Astyanax mexicanus: one gene and its partners. The protein of the gene in region 1 purifies or fractionates together with the protein of each later gene. This does not show direct contact. Links are inferred from orthologs where the notes say so. Each region holds a gene or a part of one and is shown in the gene's direction. Other genes may lie near its edges. The genes, in order: trinucleotide repeat-containing gene 6A protein, ago3b and ago1.

The links.
Region 2: the proteins of trinucleotide repeat-containing gene 6A protein (region 1) and ago3b purify together in Homo sapiens (affinity purification with mass spectrometry; 7 studies listed by BioGRID and IntAct, with this or other methods). This does not show direct contact. The link is inferred for Astyanax mexicanus from reciprocal best matches to the Homo sapiens genes TNRC6A and AGO3.
Region 3: the proteins of trinucleotide repeat-containing gene 6A protein (region 1) and ago1 purify together in Homo sapiens (affinity purification with mass spectrometry; 10 studies listed by BioGRID and IntAct, with this or other methods). This does not show direct contact. The link is inferred for Astyanax mexicanus from reciprocal best matches to the Homo sapiens genes TNRC6A and AGO1.

The regions. Positions count from the first base shown.
Region 1 is NC_064426.1:13,559,857-13,567,446, forward strand, and holds the start of trinucleotide repeat-containing gene 6A protein, read left to right. Parts: upstream 1-4,066; 5' UTR 4,067-4,228; intron 4,229-7,590.
Region 2 is NC_064410.1:30,428,512-30,436,074, forward strand, and holds the start of ago3b (protein argonaute-3), read left to right. Parts: upstream 1-4,282; 5' UTR 4,283-4,955; coding exon 4,956-4,974; intron 4,975-7,563. Other genes in the region: olah (S-acyl fatty acid synthase thioesterase, medium chain), read right to left, coding at 551-720, 905-1,004, 1,326-1,464, 2,283-2,417, 2,665-2,671.
Region 3 is NC_064408.1:119,808,312-119,815,954, forward strand, and holds the start of ago1 (protein argonaute-1), read left to right. Parts: upstream 1-4,555; 5' UTR 4,556-4,681; coding exon 4,682-4,706; intron 4,707-7,643.

The DNA.
Region 1 (7,590 bases):
CATCGCCAACATAATCCGTTGCTTCTAATCCATTCCTTCAAATTACTTGGGCTTAGTAGTCCAACTTGGGAACAGTATGTCAAGCTATGCTCCTGACTTTTACAGTATGGGCAGGATTGAGATCTTGCATGCACAGATAATAGAGTTGGGCCTGGGGCTGAGACTGTAAATAACTAGATGGGGAGGCAGGATAAGGCTGAGGAGGCTGGGAGCTGGACTGGGAGCTAGACTGAGTGATATGAGGAGGAAAAACACCAGACTGAGAGGAAACCTGAGGCTGTACAGAACTAGATGGAAAGGCAGGATAAGGTTGAAGGGGCTGAGGCCTAGGCTGGGGATTATGAGTAGGCACAACACTAGACTGGGGTGCAATCAAAGGCTGAGGCTGTAAAGAACTAGATTGGGAGGCAGGATGGGGTAAAGCTAATCTAGATGGGGCTGAACATGAACTTCTAGCTCTGTTCTCTTCAGGTATAGAACATTGAAATTCTACACAACTGTGAGGTCTTTGTACAGGTTGGGAGTAATCAACATCAAAGTCATCATCAGAGCTAATGCAATCTTCAGAAACATTTACTGATTCAGAGTCCCTGTTACAAATATGCAGGGATCCCATACGATCAAGTAGTTTTATTGTCTCTTTCAGGCTGCATACCTAGTATGTAGTTCCTTGAGGTCAGATTGTTGTTGTGCTGAGGCAGGATTCGGGATCCCTCTACCTCCAGGTTTAAGATAGGTAGCTAAAGGCCTTGGATTAGTGGTGCAGGGTTCCTGTGGCTTTCCAAAGCCCACTGACTCGACGTGATATTGCTGAAGATGGGTTGGAGGCCTTCTCTGCCGTGTGGATCGTCTGTTCTCTTGATCTGTATCCATCATAACTGCCAATCCCGGGTTTCGGCACCATGTAAAGTTTAGTTGGATTGCATTTAGTGGAAGGGTGGCTGGCGTGATGGTGTGTCCATTAAAACACAGGAGGATGAACAGACTTCAACTGATGCAGTTTATTCTCAGAGTCACAGCATATTTCACAATGAGGCAGAGCAGGTGCATGAATGGACAGTTAATGCATGGCTGAGGAAAGGATGGATGGAGGAAGGAAGATGATGTAGGGAGAATGGAGAGATTATACAGGATGGTTGTATCTACAGGATGGATACACAGGATGGATGGTTTTATCTACAAATAAACAAAATACAAGGATCAGTAAAACAATACAAATAGTGCAACAAAAGGAACAACAAACCAAGTGAGCAAACAATAAACCCAATCACAATCAAATTGGACAAGTTAACATAAATGAATTAAGTAATAAATCAGAAAACTTACACAAACACACATCCATTGGAAGCTCAGTCCACAATCCAAAAGAGGTTCAAATTCTCAGACCATGCCAAACAAAGAAATAAAAAAATGGCCGACAGTGCCATTTTAACCTCTAAGCCCCGCCTTATCCTGCTGCAAAGAATTATGGTCTATGTAGTTTACCTGCTCCCAGGGAATTTCCAACACTTGGGGGTTTGTGTCTAAGCTGTATTTGTCTATAGCAAAATGAATGGGCTTTTCAAAACTCGCCTCTATCACATTCTGTGGTAAATAAATATGTTCTTGTTCATTTTATTCTGCTACTCTTATGTGCTACAGTATGAGCTTTAATCACACAGGAATAAAATGTTGTAGGCCAAATTGCTGGGACTAATCTGCGATAGGTTCAATGGCTAAGGCTGTATATGTAGGCTACTGTAGGCTGTATAGTTTAGGCTAAATGACTATATTAAATGGGTTTCCAATAAGGAAATATTTGACAGTAATTAGCTTGAATTGTATGGTGTATTTGTGTGTGCGTGTGTTTGTGCAGTGTCCAATGAGGCAGAATGACTGTCTTTAAAAGGCCCCCAGAGTGGAGGCTGCAGGTCAGTTTTTGCCCGTGTGCTGGTGCTTTGTGTACAAAGTGAAAGCGTAGGCACATTCCTGCGGGCAGACCGGACAGTGTTTACATTGTTCCTGATTTGTTTAGGGTTTTCTCAGTCCACAGACGGCTAAACTCTTTCTATTTGGCCAGCATTCATAGCAGACTGCTGCACAGAGCTAAACACATTTACGGATGTAAGCAAACAGATACAGCATCACAGGCAGCTGGGAGCAGAAATACCTGAGGGAACTTTTGTTTAAAGAAGAGGGTATCTATACACAGCTTCTGAAATCATTTTAAAAGTGAATTTTGTCTAAAATGCTTCACACAGCAGTCAGAGTATGAATGCACATTTTGTTTCAGAGCTGCCATTTATTTACTCTGTTGAATTTATCTATATGCTGTTTGAAACATTCATACTGCTTTTGTAATTTGCTGAAATGTAGCTTGATCACTATAAATAAAAAAAACAAACAGCTTGCAAAGAGATGGACTGAGATAAATAAATACATGGATTCCTTTAGCTTTGATTAAATTACAGTATGCATACTGTACTCTATCGCATTTTTTCCACACACCTCTGCAATGTTACAACAATAGTTTTCCCCAAGATCTGGTATTGATGATGGGAGATTTTGACCACTGTGCAAAGTCTTCTCCGGCACATCCCAAAAATTCTCAATAAGGTTCAGGTCTGGATTCTGTGACATGCACTATGATGGGTGCATTACTTTAGCCACCTCTTTCCGAACCCTGATGCACCCATCACTCTAGAACAGGGTAAATCATGATTCCTCAAAGCACATGTTCTCCTTCCATCGCTCCAGATTCCAATCTTTATGCTCCTTAGCAAATTGAAGTTGTTTTTGTCGATTAGTCTCACTGGTAAGTGGTTATCTTAAAGCTACACAGCTGATTAGCCCCAATCCCTTGAATTCCCTTCACATTGTGCTTGTGAAAATGCTCTTACCTTCACTTTTAAACATATCTCTGGTATTGTTTTTGTACCACAAAGTTAAAGTGATCGCCAATTACCATAATTTAATATTTTCGGATAATTTGACTCTTCTGAAACAGACAAACATATTTTCAAGGACACAAAATGAGTTTAACAAATGAAAAGCTTCTCATTGCATTAGTTAGAATTCAATAACTTGTCAGCTGAAACATAATCACCCGTGCAGTAAATATCCAATTTGAAGATCTTTGAGTTATCCAAAAAGTTCTACTTGTTCCTCTGTATGAGTGCTTTAATAGACTTTGAGCAGTGTTTAGGGTCGTTGTCAAGTTGAAGTATCCAGCCCCAGCACAGCTTCAGCTTCGTTCCTGATCTGTGAACATTGTTCTTAATAATCTGCTGATATTGACTGGAATAATGCACCCCTCAACTTTAACAAGATTCCCAGTACCTGCACTGATCACACTGCCCCACAGAATGAAATCTCTGGAGCTGGTCTGTGGATTGACTATGACTATTCTCAACATCCTTCTGCTTATCTGAGATGTTTCTTGGTCTGCCACTTCAGGCCTTAACTAGAACTGTGCGTGTGGTCTTCCATTTCCTCACTATGTTCCTCACAGGGGTAACTGACAGCTGAAATCTCTGACAGAGCTTTTTGTATGCTTCCCCTAAACCATGATGTTGAACAATCTTTGTTTTCAGGTCATTTAAGAGTTGTTTTGAGGCTCCCATTTTTCCACTTTTCAGAGAAGATGCAAAAAGGAAAAAAACTTGCAATTGGCCAAGTGTTTCAATTATTAGAGATAAAGCTATTCAAATCACTAAAACAACAAGGGTGCCCAAATGTATGCACCTGCCTTATTTTGTTTAAATAATTATTGTAATTTTTTTTTGTAAATCCTATAAACTTAAATATCACTGTGTTTGTCTCCTATATGATGAATTTAACTGAAATTGCTGATCTGAACACCAATGATTTAAAAATGAAAATCATCAAAATGAAGGTGCACAAACTTTTTCATACCGCTGTAGATAGATCACTAGTGTTAAGTTGTTTGTTTTTTTAGTTGTATAGCTGTTATTATTGAGCTGAACTGGATTTTGTTTGTTTATGTTCCTGATATGCGCCTGCTGCTCTGCGCCGTGGCGCCATTTCGTAGCGGAAGTGGCAGCCGCGCGCGCCGCTGAGCTCTTCCTGCGGGAGCGCGCAGTGAGAGAGAAAATGTCCGCGCGGGCGGAGCGGTGATCCTGCAGGAGAGCTAAGCGCGAGCTCGGGTTTAAAGATCAATAATACACTCATCGCTGATCCACTGAAGGCCTTTCACCACACTTTACTCATCGCACTTTAATCTACACAGGTGAGGCTGAACGCGCTTTTCGCTGTTTGGCGCAGTTTGCTGTAATGTAGCGCGCGGCGGAGTCGAAGGGCTCGAGTGGAGCTGCGCGTGGTGGCGTCTGTTGTTTACAGGGACCGTTAAAACCGTGATAAACATAAACAGCGCGGTGCATTTGGGTAATGTGTGTTTTGCGGGCGGCGTGTTGCAGAAACGTCTTAGTCAAGCGGCTTCAAAAGCCAGAACTACGACGCCGAAGTTGGACCTCCTATTAGAGTTGTTCAGTTCCACCTTAAATGGTGCGGCACTGATACACTATATAGTCTGAAGTGCCCGTATGAAGCTAGCGAGCTGCTTTTCCGTTTAAGGTGGACCGGAAAAATTATAAAAGCGAAGCCCAGCTGTAACCTCTAACGCTGTTGGATATTAAAAAGCTAATTGATTATTCGTTGGATAATGCTCTTACATTTGAGTTTAAATATTCGTCCAACTACATGCTTATGTTACAGAACAAAATGGCGTAAGATTTGAGTTATAAATAATAGACCTAACGTTAACCTTTAGCTAGCTAGCGTTAGCCAGTTATGTTTTTGAGTTTCTGCCTCGTTACAAATCTAAGCTAGCTACACAATAGTTTATAAGTGATACAAATAAGTCTTTAGCTAGTTATTTAATAATGACTCTAAATGCGAAGTGGTTATCTTGTTTGCTAAGGCTGTATTTTGTGGTCTTAAATTTAATACTGACTAACTAGTTAACCTTGCTAACTGATTAGCTTACTTTTGTAAATATGTTTATTATATAACTTGCTTTTAAGAACGCGAAGTGTGTTAAAAGATTCTTATGTTTATACCGCTAACCTAGCTTAGCGATGTTAAATCTATAAAATTATATATGGCTCCAAGCTAGTTAACGAGCTATAAACAAACAGAGCAGGTCATTGTTTAATAGCTAGCTTAGCGGACTAACCTAACCTAGGTCTCAGTTTTCAACAGATCAGATCAGAGTTTCGCAGACCCCGAAAGCCATTTTATTTGGTTAATGCAGGTTAGCTAGCGTTACGTAGCTGACAGCACAGATATCTACATAAGCATGCCGATAAATAAATAGTTAACTAAGTATAAACGAATAAATGTGATACTGAGGCAAATAGTATGTGGGCTTATTAGGTTTAGTCGTATGTTAAATAGCTACGTAGTTAGCTTAGCAGCTAGGCTAGCTGATATTAGCTTCTGAGCTAAAGCCCTTAGTGTTTTTCCTCATGTTTTAGTTTAGCTATTTTGTGTTGGTTGTAGAGTTAAGCGTACTATCTTGTATAATGTAAGCTTCATGTAGGAGAGTGAGTATGTGTAATTATAATTCGGTGTTGTTTAGCTAGGCGAGCTAAAAAAAAACGTTTAAATAAATGCTTGTCCACTGCAGAGCTAACAGTAAGGGTTCCAGCATTCAAACTGTCATCCCACAATATTATACTTTTTTATTTTTTTTGCGAGAACAGGAGTAAAATCAGTTATTTCGTGATGGAAGCCGGGTGTTGTGTAGTTGTGTGCGACTGTAAGCGGTTAGCAGGTTTAACGTGGTTTGTCTGTGGTGGGGGAGGTGTAGCTGTAGATTTTCTCTCCTACTCCTGGTTATGAAATCGCGTTGAACCACCTTAGGGGTTTAATTTGGTTCATTTTATGATTTTACAAAAATCAATGTGGTATTTCCCATGTAGACACTGTCTAAACACTTCACTTACTGATGTCCATGTCTGCCATTGATTAACTTTGGTGCCTGTTAGTGCTGTCCAATCCTAGACAATCACCACCAAAGAACAATATAATAAGGTTGGCAGTATGTATTTTTTACAATACACTTGTTATTGACATGCAGTAGTAGGATTTCATTTCTGCTATCAAGAACGTGAACTATATATAGTACAGTGGTTATTATAAAACATATATAAGATGTGACCTGTAAGTTTTTGTGTGTTTCTAATTGCATACTAAAAAGTACTTTTGAAGTGTGCATTGTGGTGCATTCCCTTTTCAGAGTGGATGAATCTGGTGATTTGGATTGGTTAGGAGTCTGTTGCCCTCCTTTATTTCACCAGCTTGCTTTAGTTCTAATCTATATAAATTTTCTCTAATGATGAGCTCTTGTATTATCCTTATTAGCAGCACTGCATTTGCTTAAGTTAAGACTTGTAGCCAGAAAAATGTCCCGGGACCTAACAGACACACTGTTTTTAAAATAAATGCATTTGGCATTGCCAAAATGGTAGCAAAAGCAGATTGATGCAATTTATTATATTTTGCTATCTCCCCTGCTTAGACATTTTAAAAATAAAATAAAGTAAACAATGTAAAATCTTCAGGACTGCTGCTTTAAACAATGCTTATTACACTGTGCAATACAATATTTGGTTGTACAGTAATAGATCCACAATATTGTGAAAAAAGGTTCAGCAACAATGTTCAGTATAATTAATATGATACACATTTTAAGTAAACTAGCATCACATCTGCTTCAGTATGGGACATAATCAATAATGTGTAATGATACTAAATGTCACCAGTGTTTATATATTTAATCATGGCATGCTTTTCAGATTAAGCAAAGTTAATATAATCTGCTGTCATAATTTTTGTTTTTCTGAGACTTCTAGTGCATTCTCTTTTTAGTAGAATACTGAGATGTACTGTTTAATATATTTTATATATTATGTAAGATTTATGCTTCACAGCAGGTTTAACCGTACAGGATTAATTTCAGTAAAATTAAATTAGGTCGCTGTAGAATAGTCAGAACAGGTTCTGCAGCATTTCTTCTTGTCATAACAAAGTTCTACACTTTCCATCTAACAACTTGTTTCCTCTGTTTGTCAGACAATCTTTGGTTTTCTGATAAGTTACAATAAAAGCCCAAAATAGATCCCTCGGTTTAAAATATGAAAACATATTAAAGCTAAATGTGTGGTAAAAAAAAATTTCTGGCCTTATCCCCTTCATTTGTTGATTTGGAAAGTGTTGTAATATATAGTATCGCTAATGTATATGCACTCAGACTTCATACAGTAGAAATGGACTGTTTTGTGTATTTGTCATTTTTGTGTATCTTTCAGTTTAATTGACCAATTGCTGATTGGGTGATCAAGGGTGGGGCTAGATACCACATTAACACTTAGGCATACTTGGTAATGTGTCTTTGTAGGTTTTCTATAATGTGGCGAACACTGTCTTTCAACTAAAAATATGCTTTATATTTTAAAATCAACCATATTAAACAAAATGCTGTGGAGCTCTAGCTTAAAGACACACTGAAGAGTGTGAACACAACTGAAAAGGTTGGGTGCCATGTTTGTTTATTTTGTGTTAGGTGCAGACGTAGTTAATATAGGTTAC
Region 2 (7,563 bases), on another chromosome or scaffold:
AAACATGCTAGATATTTTTACTGCTAACTGATATGGCCCTGGCTTACTGGAACACTCAAGGTTCCTCAGTGTAGCTCTGTCGTGCAGCAGTTAGGCAGCATTAGTTAGTTCCAGCATTAGTGGAAATCTGTAAATCTCTTAAATTAACTCCCAAATTAACAGTTTTTAGGAGAGAAATCTGTGTAGATTTACATCCAGCACTCGTTTGACTTGTCTGACTCGTATGAAAATGTTTTTTTTTTTAAGAATTACAGTTTCTTTTACTTTACATATCATAGCTTTACCGGTCTCCCCACCCAGCGGCAAGACCTGCTGAATTAGAAGGGAAATGTGGAGACACCCCTGTTTCTAAGAAATGCTGCTTAAAATGCTCCTTATAATCTGGTGCATCTTGTGTATGAAAATAGATATTTATTGATAGTGTGCCTTATAATCTGGTGCACCTTATAGTGCAAAAAATACAATACTAAAAATGTGTTAGTGAAATTGTGTTACAAGAAATATATTAATTATATAAAAACTCATATGCAGTTAATTGCATTCCACCAACCTGTAATTCTCCACTACACCGAGGTCCGCCTTCAAAGCTGGCAGGAACAGCTTCAGCACTTCAGGATTGGCCAATATTTCAGGAGGAGTTCCTCCAATCGAGGTCATCCACTGAAGGAATTCTTCATCAGACAGTTGGCTTCTCCGTGGGGCTTGTAATCTGGTTTCAGACTGACAGAGAGGATTAATTGTTTTAGCTAAAAAGTTATTGTAAATGTTTCTTTACACATTTACATGTTTTAATTAAAAAACATGTAATGATTTACCAGCAGATAAGTCATACCACTTTACAATAACTTATATTATGCCACTGTTCTCTTTGAAATCACTACTGCAGTGAACAAACTGTACTTACATAAGGCGCAGAAGCTCCAGAGAGAAACACATGGACTGGTTCAAGATTGTGAACTTTTTTCACATACTCGGCAAAGGCATAGCTGGTCATAGCACCAAAACTGGGGAAAAGGAACCACAATGAGATGAGAAACCACAAAGTGCCTGAAGTAAAATACATGAAATTTAATGCGTTTTTAAAAAACTTTTTTTAAATCATTGATGAAATCTGTTGAAAACATTATAAACAGTGTTGTTGCATTTTGCCAAATAATGCAAACAACACAAAGTTTCCCAAACAAATTATGAAAGAAAAATATTTCCTATAGGAAATTTGGTTTCCATTTTTGCTAGCACCAAAATGTTGTTTTTGATCCCAGAGAACAAAAAACTTTACATTCATTTGTGAAGTAGATGTGAGATATAACTTTTTTAGCACCAACCTGTGTCCAAAGAGAGCAAATGGTTTCTCCTTGAGTTCTGGCAAAAGCACACTGATGACCTCATCGAGGATCTGCTGCATGTGCTGGAAGAATGGTTCTTTAGCTCGGCTCTCCCTGCCGGGCAGTCTGACTGAATACACTGCATATCACAAAGAACAAAAAGAGGAGCAATAACACAAGCAGCAAAAAGCACCAACTGTCAGAGCGCAGACACATAATGTATCAACATACTTTAATATCCATTTAATTTGCATACATTAAACGCTTACAGCACCATCTCAGAAAAAGTTTTGAGAATGTGGAAAAGTGCATAAGAAAAAGACAAATCTTTAAATACTCTAAGATCTTATATAAACAACAGCCTATTTGCATAAGTGACAGAGCCCTTAAGCAGATCATTCTGAAAGGGGCTGAATCTGGCATAGAACTGGAATAGAGCTGGTGAGGCTCTTTATGTGAGAGTGATTTAAATAAAGATGGTTTAAATGTTGTTTTTCTATCATCAATCTTAAAAATATGTAAAGTAACAAAAAAAATCAATGTTTACTTATAATGTTCTTCTTAAGTAATAAGAATGGTGGTGTACAAACCAGTGCCAAAGAAACATTTTTTTTTGTTTTATAGCTATAAAACAGAAGCAGGAACTGTGATCATTTTTCTTATTTTTCTTACTTATGAAATGTAAAACAAATTTCACAGTTCACAGATTGAAATGCTGGGAACAGTGGATGAGGGGCCTTCAAACACCAGAAAATGCTATAAAAGCATCTAATATCTGATAAAACATCCTGATCATTTTATCATTTAATGTTGAAAATATAATACTTAATGGTCCTTCAAATCATTTAAGCATTGTAGAAATAAATCCACATGATCTCACTTTGATTTTGTTGCCAATATATATATATAAATACAGCACAATAATACACAGTAAAGGTCAGTGTAGCGGAGAAGTACCTTCAACAGAGGAGTTGAGGAGTCTCCCCCAGCGTGCGTAGTGGATGGAGCCTCCACCTGCCCAGGGGAAGCAGATCAGTCTGACCACAGCGTCCGGCCTCCTGCTGAAGCAGCTAATGACTTTATCCATCCCAGCTACAATTAAACAGAGTTAGAGCTACTGGTGATTAAAAAATAACAATACCATCCTTCTGAACTAGGAACCAGTCTACAGCTGAGTAAGGTTATTTACATGAGACTCCAAGTCCAAGTACAAAATAGCAATAAATAACCTAGATAACAGTCTAGGTTTATAAGCTCCACTGTTTCATAACTGTTTGTTTAAATATACCACTGATAAATATGTCTACTGACACTTCAGAATAAAGAGCAAACTATTCACCTGCCATTTAAAGACATTACACTGTAGTACATTACACTGTAGCCCGTCCAATCACTGTAACGTTCCCTGGAACAGATCCCTGAGGTGCCTTCAACACCACCCAGTCTTTACTTCAGTTCATATCAGTTTCAACCCTGGAACACAAACAAAATAAACGATTTAACTTTTTATCTCTAAATAATGAGGGTGTATACCGCTGTTCTGCTTAAACAGAACCAGGAGCATTTAAACTCTAAACTCTAAACGCAGCTGAACGTTTCATACACACACATGTTGAAGGTGCGCTTCTTCAGTCTTTACTTCAGTTCATATCAGTTTCAACCCTGGAACACAAACAAAATAAACGATTTAACTTTTTATCTCTAAATAATGAGGGTGTATACCGCTGTTCTGCTTAAACAGAACCAGGAGCATTTAAACTCTAAACTCTAAACGCAGCTGAACGTTTCATACACACACATGTTGAAGGTGCGCTTCTTCAGTTTCTTCTGTGGTGAGCTCAGTTAAATCCAGAGCGCAATGCTGCCATCTTCAGACCACTGTGCTAAAACAGCCACCAGACTTTTGAGACTTTTACAGATTTTACCTGGAGTGTTTTCCTTTCTTCTATATTTAATTAATCAATTAATCAATCACATACATGTATTTTCACTCTGAGGTACACTGAGGTACATTTTCAATGCAGCTGAGCATTTACAATAGAAAAATTTAAATATAATATGAAACCACCGCATACAAACACAACATGGAATAAAATAAGCAAGGTAAAACATTGAAAAAATAAGCATAACTAAGGTTAGATAGCAAAATAATCATTTAATTTAATAATAATAATCAAAATAAATAATATATATATATTTTTAAATAAGAAAAGAAAACATTTTAACATTAGACAAGAAAACTAAAATAAAGCCAAAACTAACCATTAAATTAACATAAAAAAACAATATGGCATAATGTTTCCCACAGGAATCAAACCATATTTTGGTTATTGCACTATTCCATACCATACCTTATTTTATATTATTTTTATTATTATATTTTTTTTATTTGTATTATAATATAATGTTGCAAGGCATATCTATATCCAAAACAATGAGGCGTACAAGTGGGTCATAAATAAAAATCTATATACGCGCAATAATACGTAAAGAAGTATATTTGGTTGTTTATATTCTTATTTTATTCTTACAATCTTGTTGTAAGCTTACTAAAACGTGTTTTCTTCTAATGAGCTTGTTATCAATTATCAACCAAAAAAAACAACAAAACTTTATTTTCTCTCCAAAAATATATTTCATGCCTTTTGAGGGTTAAGACAATAATAATATTAATAATAATAAGAAGAATATGTTTTAATCTATAATGAAAAAATGAATAAATTTGAAGAAAAAAATCGTTATTATAGGAAAGCTGGGTAGTGGAGGTGGTTATAAAATAAAATTGCAGCGAATTGAGCTTCAATGTTTTTCTGTTGTGACTAAAACAGAATTTCAGAAACTTAATTATATTATTATTTATGTTCTTTAATGAATTAAGTCTCAGACGTGGATCAGAAATGAATGACATGGTTGCAGGATGTGACGGCGCTTCCTGCCGTTGGTATTTCCTGTGGTCCCCCTCCCTCAGCCCGGCGGTGGAGAGAGAGATGGTGAACCGGTTACAGGAGCGGAGAGAGTCGGAGAGACGAACCGGTGAACCAGCGAGAAAAACAGCCCGGAGCTGAACCTCTGCTGCGGTGCTGAGTGTTTTATTATAGAAGGACGAATTTTAACTGGTTTTAGACTGTAATAAACTGTGGCTGAGTGGAGGTTGGAGGTTTTAGTGAGTTTTATCGAGTGTCAGACAGAAGCTGCTGCTCTGGTTCGAGTTGAGAAGAAGGGAAAAGCTGTTTCTCGCTCTCGGGAGTTTTTACGAGGAGTTGGTTCGGTTGTCAGCTGGGAGTAATTAACGCTACTGAGTCCCGGTGAACGGAGGGAGCTACTGAAGGAGGCGAAGGACACGGCGGGGAGGCTGTCTTTAACCTAACTAACGATAAACACCGAGAACCGAATGAAGCTAAGGCCGAGCTGACCCTCAGGGACGGGACGGTCTCATCAGCCGCAGCGGAGACCGGCGACCGCGGCCGGGGCGAGGAGGACAGAGAGGTAGCCGTTAGCCGAGCTCCAGCAGCTCCAGCGGCCCCACAGCGGCTCCGCGGAGACCCTACAGCACCACTACTACCACCACCCGTAAGCCGGGCACCAGCTCTGGAAAGCCGGCTGACTGGAATCCGGGCAGAGACCTCATGAATGGAAATCGGTACTACAGGTAGGTTTACGAGCTTCTCCCGGAGCGTGACCCCAGCTGGGGACCCGGCTGGGTGGGGTTAACCAGCAGGTGAAATAACTGGTTAACTAACTAGTCAGGTCAGATAGTTACAGGAGGGTCTTCTGAGGGGACTGTGGGGCTCGTTCAGGGGTCCGTATGCACTGTGTCTCGACCCCTCAGTGTTGTGTCGATTTTAGCAACCTTGTCAAACTATGCTACCCTAGTGTATATTTAAAGGTAAAATACGAAATATTAGAACATGCTCGCAGTAAACGTGTCGGTATGATATTTGAATAGCCTACTCGGTGTATTAAGGTAAAGTTAAGGCAATATAAGTGATCAGAAACAGTTTTATACATTTTTTTTTAATCATTTTTATCTATATTTTTATCATACATTTTTACACGGTTGTAACACTCGAGCTAACGATGACAGTAAGTCCAGATTGTACACTGCACCTGAGATTTTTTTAAATATCAGGAAAAACACAGGAAAACAGTTAAATCGAGAGTTTAGCGCATGCACAGAACCGCTTAGTAGCACAAATCGACGGGTAGCACAACTCGACAGTACACCCCCCGGCTCCCTGTAACTTAAGTAACGCTAACTTAACTAACCCAGCTAACAGTTGTTTTAAGCCGTTTAGCAGCTGTTTAAGTTGTTTAGTTGTAGATTAGAAGTCGTTATTCTGGAGGTTTATGCAGGCTCGGCTGTCTGGTGGTCGATTGGAGGCGGTTTGAGGGTTTTTACCCACTCGCGGTTTCCACGTCACGGCGCTGCGACTCGCCTGTCACGCACAGGTGGCGTGGAGATCAGGTGCTGCTGCGTGAGCTGCTTGTGTGTGAGTGAGAGAGATATTGTGTGTATTTATTACTTTGTGAGGACCAGACGCCCCATAACTAACAGGAACGCACAGGAATCCTAAAGTCGTGGGGGACACCTGTAGTAATGCAGTACAACACAGCATTACAGTAAGCCTTCCCCAAAAACGATAGTAATACAAACCTATGTATCTGTGTGTGTAAAAGTGAGAGAGAGAGAAATTAAAAGAAAGAGAGAGAGATTTTGTGTATTTATCACTTTCTGAATGCCAATTGCCCAATAACTGCCCCACACGGGAATTCTAACGTCGTGGGGACATATGTAGTAAAACAATACAGCAGCATTACAATAAGCCTTCCCCACAAAGATAGTAATACAAACTCGCGAGAGTGTGTGTGGTCACAGAGGGGAGAGTGGGGGAGGCCTCCCGTTGTCATGGTGACTGAGTTACTGGTTGCTGTGTCACTGGTGACTGCTTTCCCACAACTGGTTTAACTGGAAAACATTAGAAATCAGACCCAAACTGATATACCAGTAAAGAATTACCTGTGACCAGTTGCTCACAGATGATCAGATTAGTAGTGTGTGGTTCTAGGTTTCTGTAAGTGTCTAGTCTGCACGTGGTTTACAGGTCAGCAGTGCCAGAAGATCAGTCAGTTCCCTGCTGTTAAAATCAGATGTATGGTTTTGCTAATTTCTTGTCTTAATATTTGAAGAGTTCATTTGCAAAAATGGATAAAGCTATGTTTAAAGGATAGCATCTATCTATTTGTTTGTGCAAATTAACTCTTAATTTCTTTAATGTGATCTATATCTTTTCATCACTGCTTGTAATGCTAACCATACACTAGACGACTTCAAAAACACTCTGAAAACACTTTTAATAGACTAAAGTCTGACACCCTCTCACGTCTAAAGACAAGTTACAGACTTTTTAGTCACAGATGGCAAAGACTGGGGATCTTGAAGGGTCACTATTTGCAAGACTGCAACTAGATTCTTTCAGAGTTTATTTTATTATGTTTTACTACTATTTTTATTAATATTATTATTATAAGTAGGAAATGTGTTAAAGAGACACTCTTGCTCACTACACAGCTCCACCAGTTTCTCCTACTTTTGTATACTCTAGGAGAACTGTGGTTTCCGAGCCATCACTGGAGTCTCATCCATTTCATGTTCCGCAAACCTCCCTACGCTTGCCTTGTGGCTTTCCGTAGCCCTCCTATTGGTTGTTGACATTGACATTGTTCACTTATGATAATATTAAACACGGTTGATTTTAGCTCAGTTAAACCACAACCCATATGGCCACCTCATTGTATGACCGTCATAATGTCATAAATGTATTGTACAATATATGGATGAATATGACCTGGATGGTAATTTTTCTGTCCCTAATTTTGTTTATTATGCATTTTTTAGCAAGGAGAGCCCATTAATGTGAATGAGCTGATTTGCTAACTCTTTAAACTCTGTTTATCAAACTTGTCAGAGTAAGAATGCTGATGCAGGATCAGCAAAAGTTTACTGAATTCTATTAGACAGTTGATGAGAGGTGATCTCACATCAGTTCTTTTACTCAGAGATGGTTGATAAATGAGGCCCAGTTTTATTAATTCAATTATGTTTTATTTATATAGGACATTAATTAGTTAAAGTTAGGAAATTATTTATATTCCATATCCATTGGCTCAATATTCTTAATACGTGATTGCTTTACTGTTCTTCAATCAATGCATCAGTGGCATAAAATGGTCTTAAAAT
Region 3 (7,643 bases), on another chromosome or scaffold:
CTTTAGCTGACACTGGATTCTTCCTCACCTCATTGATCATTTTTTCCAAGTTTTTCACTCACATGTACACCTGTACTCTGTGACGTGACAATAAAAATCTTGAATCTTGAATCTTGAATTCTGCGCTGTGCTCTTGCAGTCATCTTTACAGGCCTTTACCACGCCTAGGGAGAGTAGCAACAGTGCTGAACTTTCTCCATTTGTAGACTGTCTGTATTACCGTGGACACATGAACATCAAGGCTTTTAGAGATATTTTGTAACCCTTTCCAGCTTCATGTAGGTCAACAATTCTTGAACGTAGGTCTTCTGAGAGCTCTTTTGTGCGAGGCATGCTTCAAATCAAGCAATGCCTCTTATACAGCAAACTCAAAACTGGTGTGTGTTTTTATAGGGCAGGGCAGCTTTAACCAACACATCCAATCTCATGGCATAGGTTTGATGCAGAAGTATAAATTGGCCTTAAGTGGTGAAAAACGGATATTAAGTGGTGAGCACCAGACACTAAGTGGTGAGCACCAAATACTAAATGGTGAGCACCACATACTAAGTGGTGAGTACCACATACTAAGTGGTAAGCGCCAGATACTAAGTGGTGAGCACCAGTACATGACTTCATAGACTACATAGATGTTGTACTGTGCACATGCTTTGCAATCCTCCATACTTTCATCATGGAAGGGGGGGTTATGAATATGAACTGTCTGGGAAGCTGCCTCATAGACATGCTTCTTTGCTTATTTTTGTGTATAGTGTCTATAGTCACATCTTGGCAAGTGGTAACTTAACTGCAGTTTAAGAAACCCATCAGGTAGATAGCTAGATTGCTAGATTTCTTAGCTAATGCAAGCTAGTTAAAAAGCAAACCTGTAGCAAACAGGAGATAATTGTAGCTAGCAAGCTATAGTTTAAACTAACAGACAACTTCAAAGACTTACAATAATCTGCCTTGCTGAGTTATTTTTTTACAGTCAGCTAGGTTAGGTAACATTAACTACTTTATTGTGTGGAATGTTTTAGCTAGGTAGCTAATAAAGATCTGTCAACTGTGGCATTATGCCAATTCTTAGGCCAGACACCTACTGACCACTGTAACCCATATGGCCCATGCCCACAGGTGCTTCCAATTGGAAGGAACCAGAAGCTAAAAACAAGTGTTAATTGCAACAGCATAATAAGTTATTTGGCAATGACAGAGAAGATTTGGCAATTTTTTCATGGGCACAACCCATATTCTCAGCTATGCTGCTCATCAGTCGAATATATGTTCCTTTTAAAGGTGACATAATTCAAAAGAGAAATTAACAGACTTTTTCATTGGTATTATGGTCAGGAAGCATTGTTACAAATTGAAATAATCTACCAAACAGAAATGTTCTTACTTTTTGTGCTATGTGCCCTAAAATTGAAAATTCGAATAGCTTGGTGATGCTGATCAGGCTGGTGGAATAGCTTGGTGATGCTGATCAGGCTGATGGAATAGCTTGATGATGCTGATCAGGCTGGTGGAATAGCTTGGTGATTCTGATCAGGCAGGTGGAATAGCTTGGAGATGCTGATCAGACTGGTGGAATAGCTTGGTGATGCTGATCAGGCTGGTGGAATAGCTTGATGATGCTGATTAGACTGGTGGAATAGCTTGGTGGTGCTGATCAGGCTGGTGGAACAGCTTGATGATGCTGATCAGACTGGTGGAATAGCTTGGTGAAGCTGATCAGGCTGTTGGAATAGCTTTGTGATGCTGATCATTTTGGTGAAATAGCTTGGTGATGCTGATGAGGCTGGTGGAATAGCTTGGTGAAGCTGATCAGGCTGTTGGAATAGCTTTGTGATGCTGATCATTGTGGTGAAATAGCTTGGTGATGCTGATGAGGCTGGTGGAATAGCTTGGTGATGCTAATCAGGCTGGTGGAATAGCTTGGTGATGCTGATCAGACTGGTGGAATAGCTTGGTGATGCTGATGAGGCTGGTGGAATAGCTTGGTGATGCTGATGAGGCTGGTGGAATAGCTTGGTGATGCTAATCAGGCTGGTGGAATAGCTTGGTGATGCTGATGAGGCTGGTGGAATAGCTTGGTGATGCTGATCAGGCTGGTGGAATAGCTTGGTGATGCTGATCAGACTGGTGGAATAGCTTGGTGATGCTGATCAGGCTGGTGGAATAGCTGGTCAGGCTGGTGGAATAGCTTGGTGATGCTGATCAGGCTGGTGGAATAGCTTGGTGATGCGGATCAGGCTGGTGGAATAGCTTGATGATGCTGATCAGGCTGGTGGAATAGCTTGGTGATGCTGATCAGGCTGGTGGAATAGCTTGGTGATGCTGATCAGACTGGTGGAATAGCTTGGTGATGCTGATCAGGCTGGTGGAATAGCTGGTCAGGCTGGTGGAATAGCTTGGTGATGCTGATCAGGCTGGTGGAATAGCTTGGTGATGCGGATCAGGCTGGTGGAATAGCTTGATGATGCTGATCAGGCTGGTGGAATAGCTTGGTGATGCTGATCAGGCTGGTGGAATAGCTTGGTGATGCTGATCAGGCTGGTGAAATAGCTGGTCAGGCTGGTGGAATAGCTGGTGATGCTGATCAGGCTGGTGGAATAGCTTGGTGATGCGGATCAGGCTGGTGGAATAGCTTGGTGATGCTGATGAGGCTGGTGGAATAGCTTGGTGATGCTAATCAGGCTGGTGGAATAGCTTGGTGATGCTGATCAGGCTGGTGGAATAGCTGGTCAGGCTGGTGGAATAGCTTGGTGATGCTGATCAGGCTGGTGGAATAGCTTGGTGAAGCTGATCAGGCTGGTGGAATAGCTTGGTGATGCTGATCAGGCTGGTGAGAAATTAAGTTTATAGGATTTACAGAAAGTGTGAAATAAATCTTTGAACAAAATTAGGCAGGTGCATAAATTTGGGCCTGAACAGAAAAAATACATCAATATTTAGACAATCCTCCTTTTGCAGAAGTAACAGCCTCTAAACACTTCCTATATCTTCCAATAAGAGTCTGGCTTCTGGCTGAAGGTATTTTGGATCATTCTTCTTTACAAATAATTTCCAGTTCAGTCAAGTTTGATGGTTTCTGATCATAAACAGCTCGCTTTAAATCACAGCACAGATTTTTAATAGTATTCATGTCTGGGGACTGAGATAATCACTCCAGAACATTGTACTTGATCCTCTGCATGAATGTTTTAGTAGATTTTGAGCAGTGTTTAGGGTCAGAATACGTCTACAGAAGTATTTTTTAAACCAAAAATATTTAATGGGCCATTCCACCGAATGTATGTCATTTCTGTTTGACTAAGGAGCTCAATCTCAACACTCTGTCCCGTTATCTAAAATAATTCTTAAATCTTATTTGTTTATTTTTAAAATACAAATTTTGGGAAGATCACTAAAATGTGCTCAGTGTCCTTATGCTATTTGCATAGCCGCCATTTAGCTATTTTTCTTGTTTTTGCTAATTCTATGATAACTCAAAACATAAAAAAGTAATAGGAATCAGTGCCATTAATAGGATTGATTTTTTTGTCATAAAAAATATCTATTTGAACATGCAGTCAACCATTTCTTTAATATATAATCTTTCTTGAGAGAGAATCAAAGGAATTAGTGGACTTGCTTTTAAACATGCTTTTTAAATGTCACATAAGTTTTGTAATCACCTTTAGCTTAGAAACCTTGTAAACAATTAAGTAAATCTGAAAAAAAAAAGTTTTACCAGTACATGTTTTAAATAGTTAAATACATGTGTTATTAGAGTTGAAAAAAATATTACAAATAAGCTTAATTTGAGTTACAACAAGCAAATGGCACCCTAATACCCTAATCTGAGTAAAGAATGTGATGCTTTAAGCAGTTTTGTTTTCAACCCAAACTTTTGCACTCCTGTGTAAATAGCTCATTTAGTATAATTCATGTATATCAAGAATACTAGTAAATCTTGGATATATAAATAGATTTTTCGAGGTTAACGAGTTCAACGCTCATTGCAGTGTGAAGCAGTGTGTGAACCTTTCCCCCCAACGGTCCCCAACCACCGCTCGCTAGAGGGCGGCCGCACAAAGCAGCTGCCCCGCACAGGAGGCGCTGTGAGCGGGAGGAGGAGGCGAAGAAGGCGGCCCTCTCTCCTCGGCTGTCCGTGGTGGGATTTTTTTTTTTGTTTGTTTTTTTTGGGGGGTCTGCTCCTACTCTGGAGAATCCTGCTTGAACGGTGAGCAGGACCCAGACACGCCGAGAGAGAGAGGGAGGGAGAGAGAGAGAAACGAAGGGAAAGGAGGGAAAGAAAAGAGGAGGGAGACCCACAACCAAAGCGGGGAGAGGAATCCGGCCAAGCGGGACTTGGAGCGCGGAGCCCCGGCTTGGCGCCGCAGCCAGCCCCGCTGGAAAGACCGGAGCGGAGCGGAGGAGCACGGCCAGAGCTGCTATTGTCTCCCCGGCTCTGCGGGGTCCAGGAGCTGGGGGGAGGACTCGGGGGGACTGGGGGTGGGCTTCCAGCTAGGGTAGAGGGTAGGGGCAAGGGGGGGGCAAAAGGGGCAGGGGGGTGGGTTGGTTTTCTTTATTTTTTTAGCCAGGAAAGAGGCGCTTTCCACGGCGGGGAAAGCAGGCTGTAGAGGCGAGGGCCGGCCGTGGTGGTGGTGGTGGAGCCCCGGGGCTTGCGTTGAGACGGCGCGCCTAAGTGGATGGGATGGAGCCGGGAGCATCTGGCGCTGGTGAGTGGATGCCTGGTTTGGCTTGGCTTTTGGTGGAAATGTTCATTTTTGATCAATTCTCATAATTATTGGGTTTGTTTAAGTATGTTTTCTTGGTAGAAGCTTATAGCTCCATCTAAGAAGCATGGGTGGTCCATCCAAGGTGGAGCAACCCCCCAAAATTTGTGCTTTCCTTCATTATTCTCAATAAATATGAATATTGTGCAAAATTGCATTTGGCTCATGCTTGATCAAGCATTGAAAAATTGGTTGAAAAATCTGGGGATGGGAATGGTAGGTGGAAGGGAATGTGTTGCAGGGGTCAGGAGGCAGTAGGGTCGTGGGAATCTTTAGTGAAGAGGCCTTGTCCACATGCAGATGGTCCAACCCCACCCCCCATCCAACATCCCACAATGATTATTGATTATGGTAAATTTATGGCTTTGCCCTTTCTGATCAGCCCCCAAGCCCAGATGTGTGGTTCTTGCTGCTTGACTCATAAATAATGTCAGCCTTTCTTAGTCTGTTCTAGTCCCAGTTTTACTAGTGCCTAACTATGTAAGCTTGTTGATGGATTGATTAATTCTTTTATAGTTAGAGGTCTCAAAAAAGAAGTTTCATCATCAATCATGATGTTTTTATTAGAGTGTGTTCTGCTTCACATAGTTCAACTGCAGAGTAGAATAGTGCACACCACTACAACAGAGTCGCAAGAATAAAATATTCTGAAGATCTTTTGGTAGACAAGTCTGTCTAATAGTTTTCTTGGTCTTAGATTGTCTTTCCTTTAATTCTTTTATAGCTAGAAGTCTCATAAAATAAGTGTTTTGGGCTTTTAATCGTAATTTTTTGGAGTGTGTTCTACTTCACAAAGTTCAATAACAGTCATATTTGTGCAAATATCAATATCAATGTAATATCAAGTAGAGTAGGGCACCACTACACCAAAGCCTGATCAGTTATTTTGAAAATCTTTTGGTAGACAAGTCTGTCTAATAGTTTACTTGATCTTAAAATGCTGTTTGTTTGATTCCTTTATAGCTAAAGGGCTCAAGAAAGTTTCTTAAGCTTGTTGTTGTTTTTATTGGAGTGTGTTCTGCTTCCCATGATTTAATAACAGCCATATTTGTGCAAATATCCCTACACAGTAGAGTAGGGCACACCACAACACCAGAGTCCGATTAATTACCCTCAAGATTTCTTGTTAGACAAGTTTGTCTGAAAGTTTTTTTTGGTCTGATTAAATATCCTTAAGATCTTTTGGTACAGAAGTCTGTCTAATAGTTTTCTTGGCCTTAATTTGTCTTTCGTTTAATTCTTTTATAGCTAGAAGTCTCACGAAAGAAGTTTGTTGGGTCTTTAATCATGTTATTGTTATTGCATGTGTTCTGCTTCACATGGTTCAATAACGGTTATATTTAAGCTAATATCACTGCACAGTAGAATAGTGCACCACTAAAACAGAGTCTGATCAGTTACCCTGAAGATCTTTTGGTAGACAAGACTAATAGTTTTCGTGGTCTTAAATGCCTTTCGTTTAATTCTTTTATAGCTATAAGTCTCACGAAAGAAGTTTCTTGGGTCTTTAATCATGTTGTTATTATTGTTGCATGTGTTCTGCTTCACATGGTTCAATAATGGTTATATTTGAGCAAATATCCCTGCACAGTAGAATAGTGCACCACTACACTAAAGCCTGATCAGTTATTTTGAAAATCTTTAGGTAGACAAGTCTGTCTAATAGTTTTCTTGATCTTAAAATGCCTTTTGTTTAATTCTTTTAAAGCTAGAGGTCTTAAAGACATTTCTTGGTCCTTCAATCCTACTGTTGTGGTTGTTGTTATCATTACTGTGTGTTCTGATTCACATAGTTCAATAAGGGTCATATTAATTCTATTAATATAGAGGTCTCAAGAAAGAAGTTTCTTAGGCCCTTAATCATGTTTATGTCATTATTGGAGTGTTTCCTGATTCACATAGTTCAATAACAGTCATATTTGTGCAAATATCACTGCACAGTAGAGTAGTGCCCCACTACACCAGAGTCTGACCAAATATCCTGATGATCTTTTGGTAGACAGGTCTGTCTAATATTTCTTGTTCTTAAATTGCCTTTCTTGGACTTTCTTGGAATATTTGTCTGCTAACTTAGTGGAGATGTCTGTATTGCCAGCTTGAGGGCATCATTGGGACAGAGGTAACTCTACACTGATAACCAGCTGTGTTGGGGTTGTGGGGTTTTGATGACAATTGTCTTTGGGCTCAGAGTTGACCTCTGTCAGAGTGTAAATTTCATGATGTAATTGGATGGGGTGCGGACCCTTCTCTGTCAGTGTGCTTTGATTCACTCCAAGAAATCTAATGTAGCAAGGCATTTACATGATACCCATGAGTTTAGTTTCAGTTGGAAAAGCCAAAAAGCCACAGTTGAAATAATACAAACTAGTAACTGTTGTACTTTATTAAAGAAAACATGCTTTGCTAAATGCAGGTAGGCAGGGCCAGGAATAACATTGTTATTAACCAAAATTTGATCACATAATTATCAGTGACCTATCATACAGGTACTGTTTTCTGTTATATTTGTTTTGTCATTGGGTAAAATTGGTGTAAAAAGTAATTGTACTTAGTGGTATTGGTAATTCAGTATTTTTTTTTATTTCTAAAGAAGCAATATTGGTACATGTTTTGGTGTGTGTTGTGTGTTGCAGTTGTTTTTTATTTAAAATGGAAAAAAAAGCTAATAGAAGTCATACTCTTGGTTATGTAATTATATGTCATAATGCACAACAACGCACAACAGCTAATGAAAGCCCTATTCAGATGGATTAATACTGAGTTTAATTTACCTCAGATGTCATTGGTATTGGTAATAACATCACAGTCAAGTTGACTTCATTCCAGTTAAATTTCGTACTTAAAAAAAAAAAAAAAAAGCTAAAGACTTCACAGTTTCAA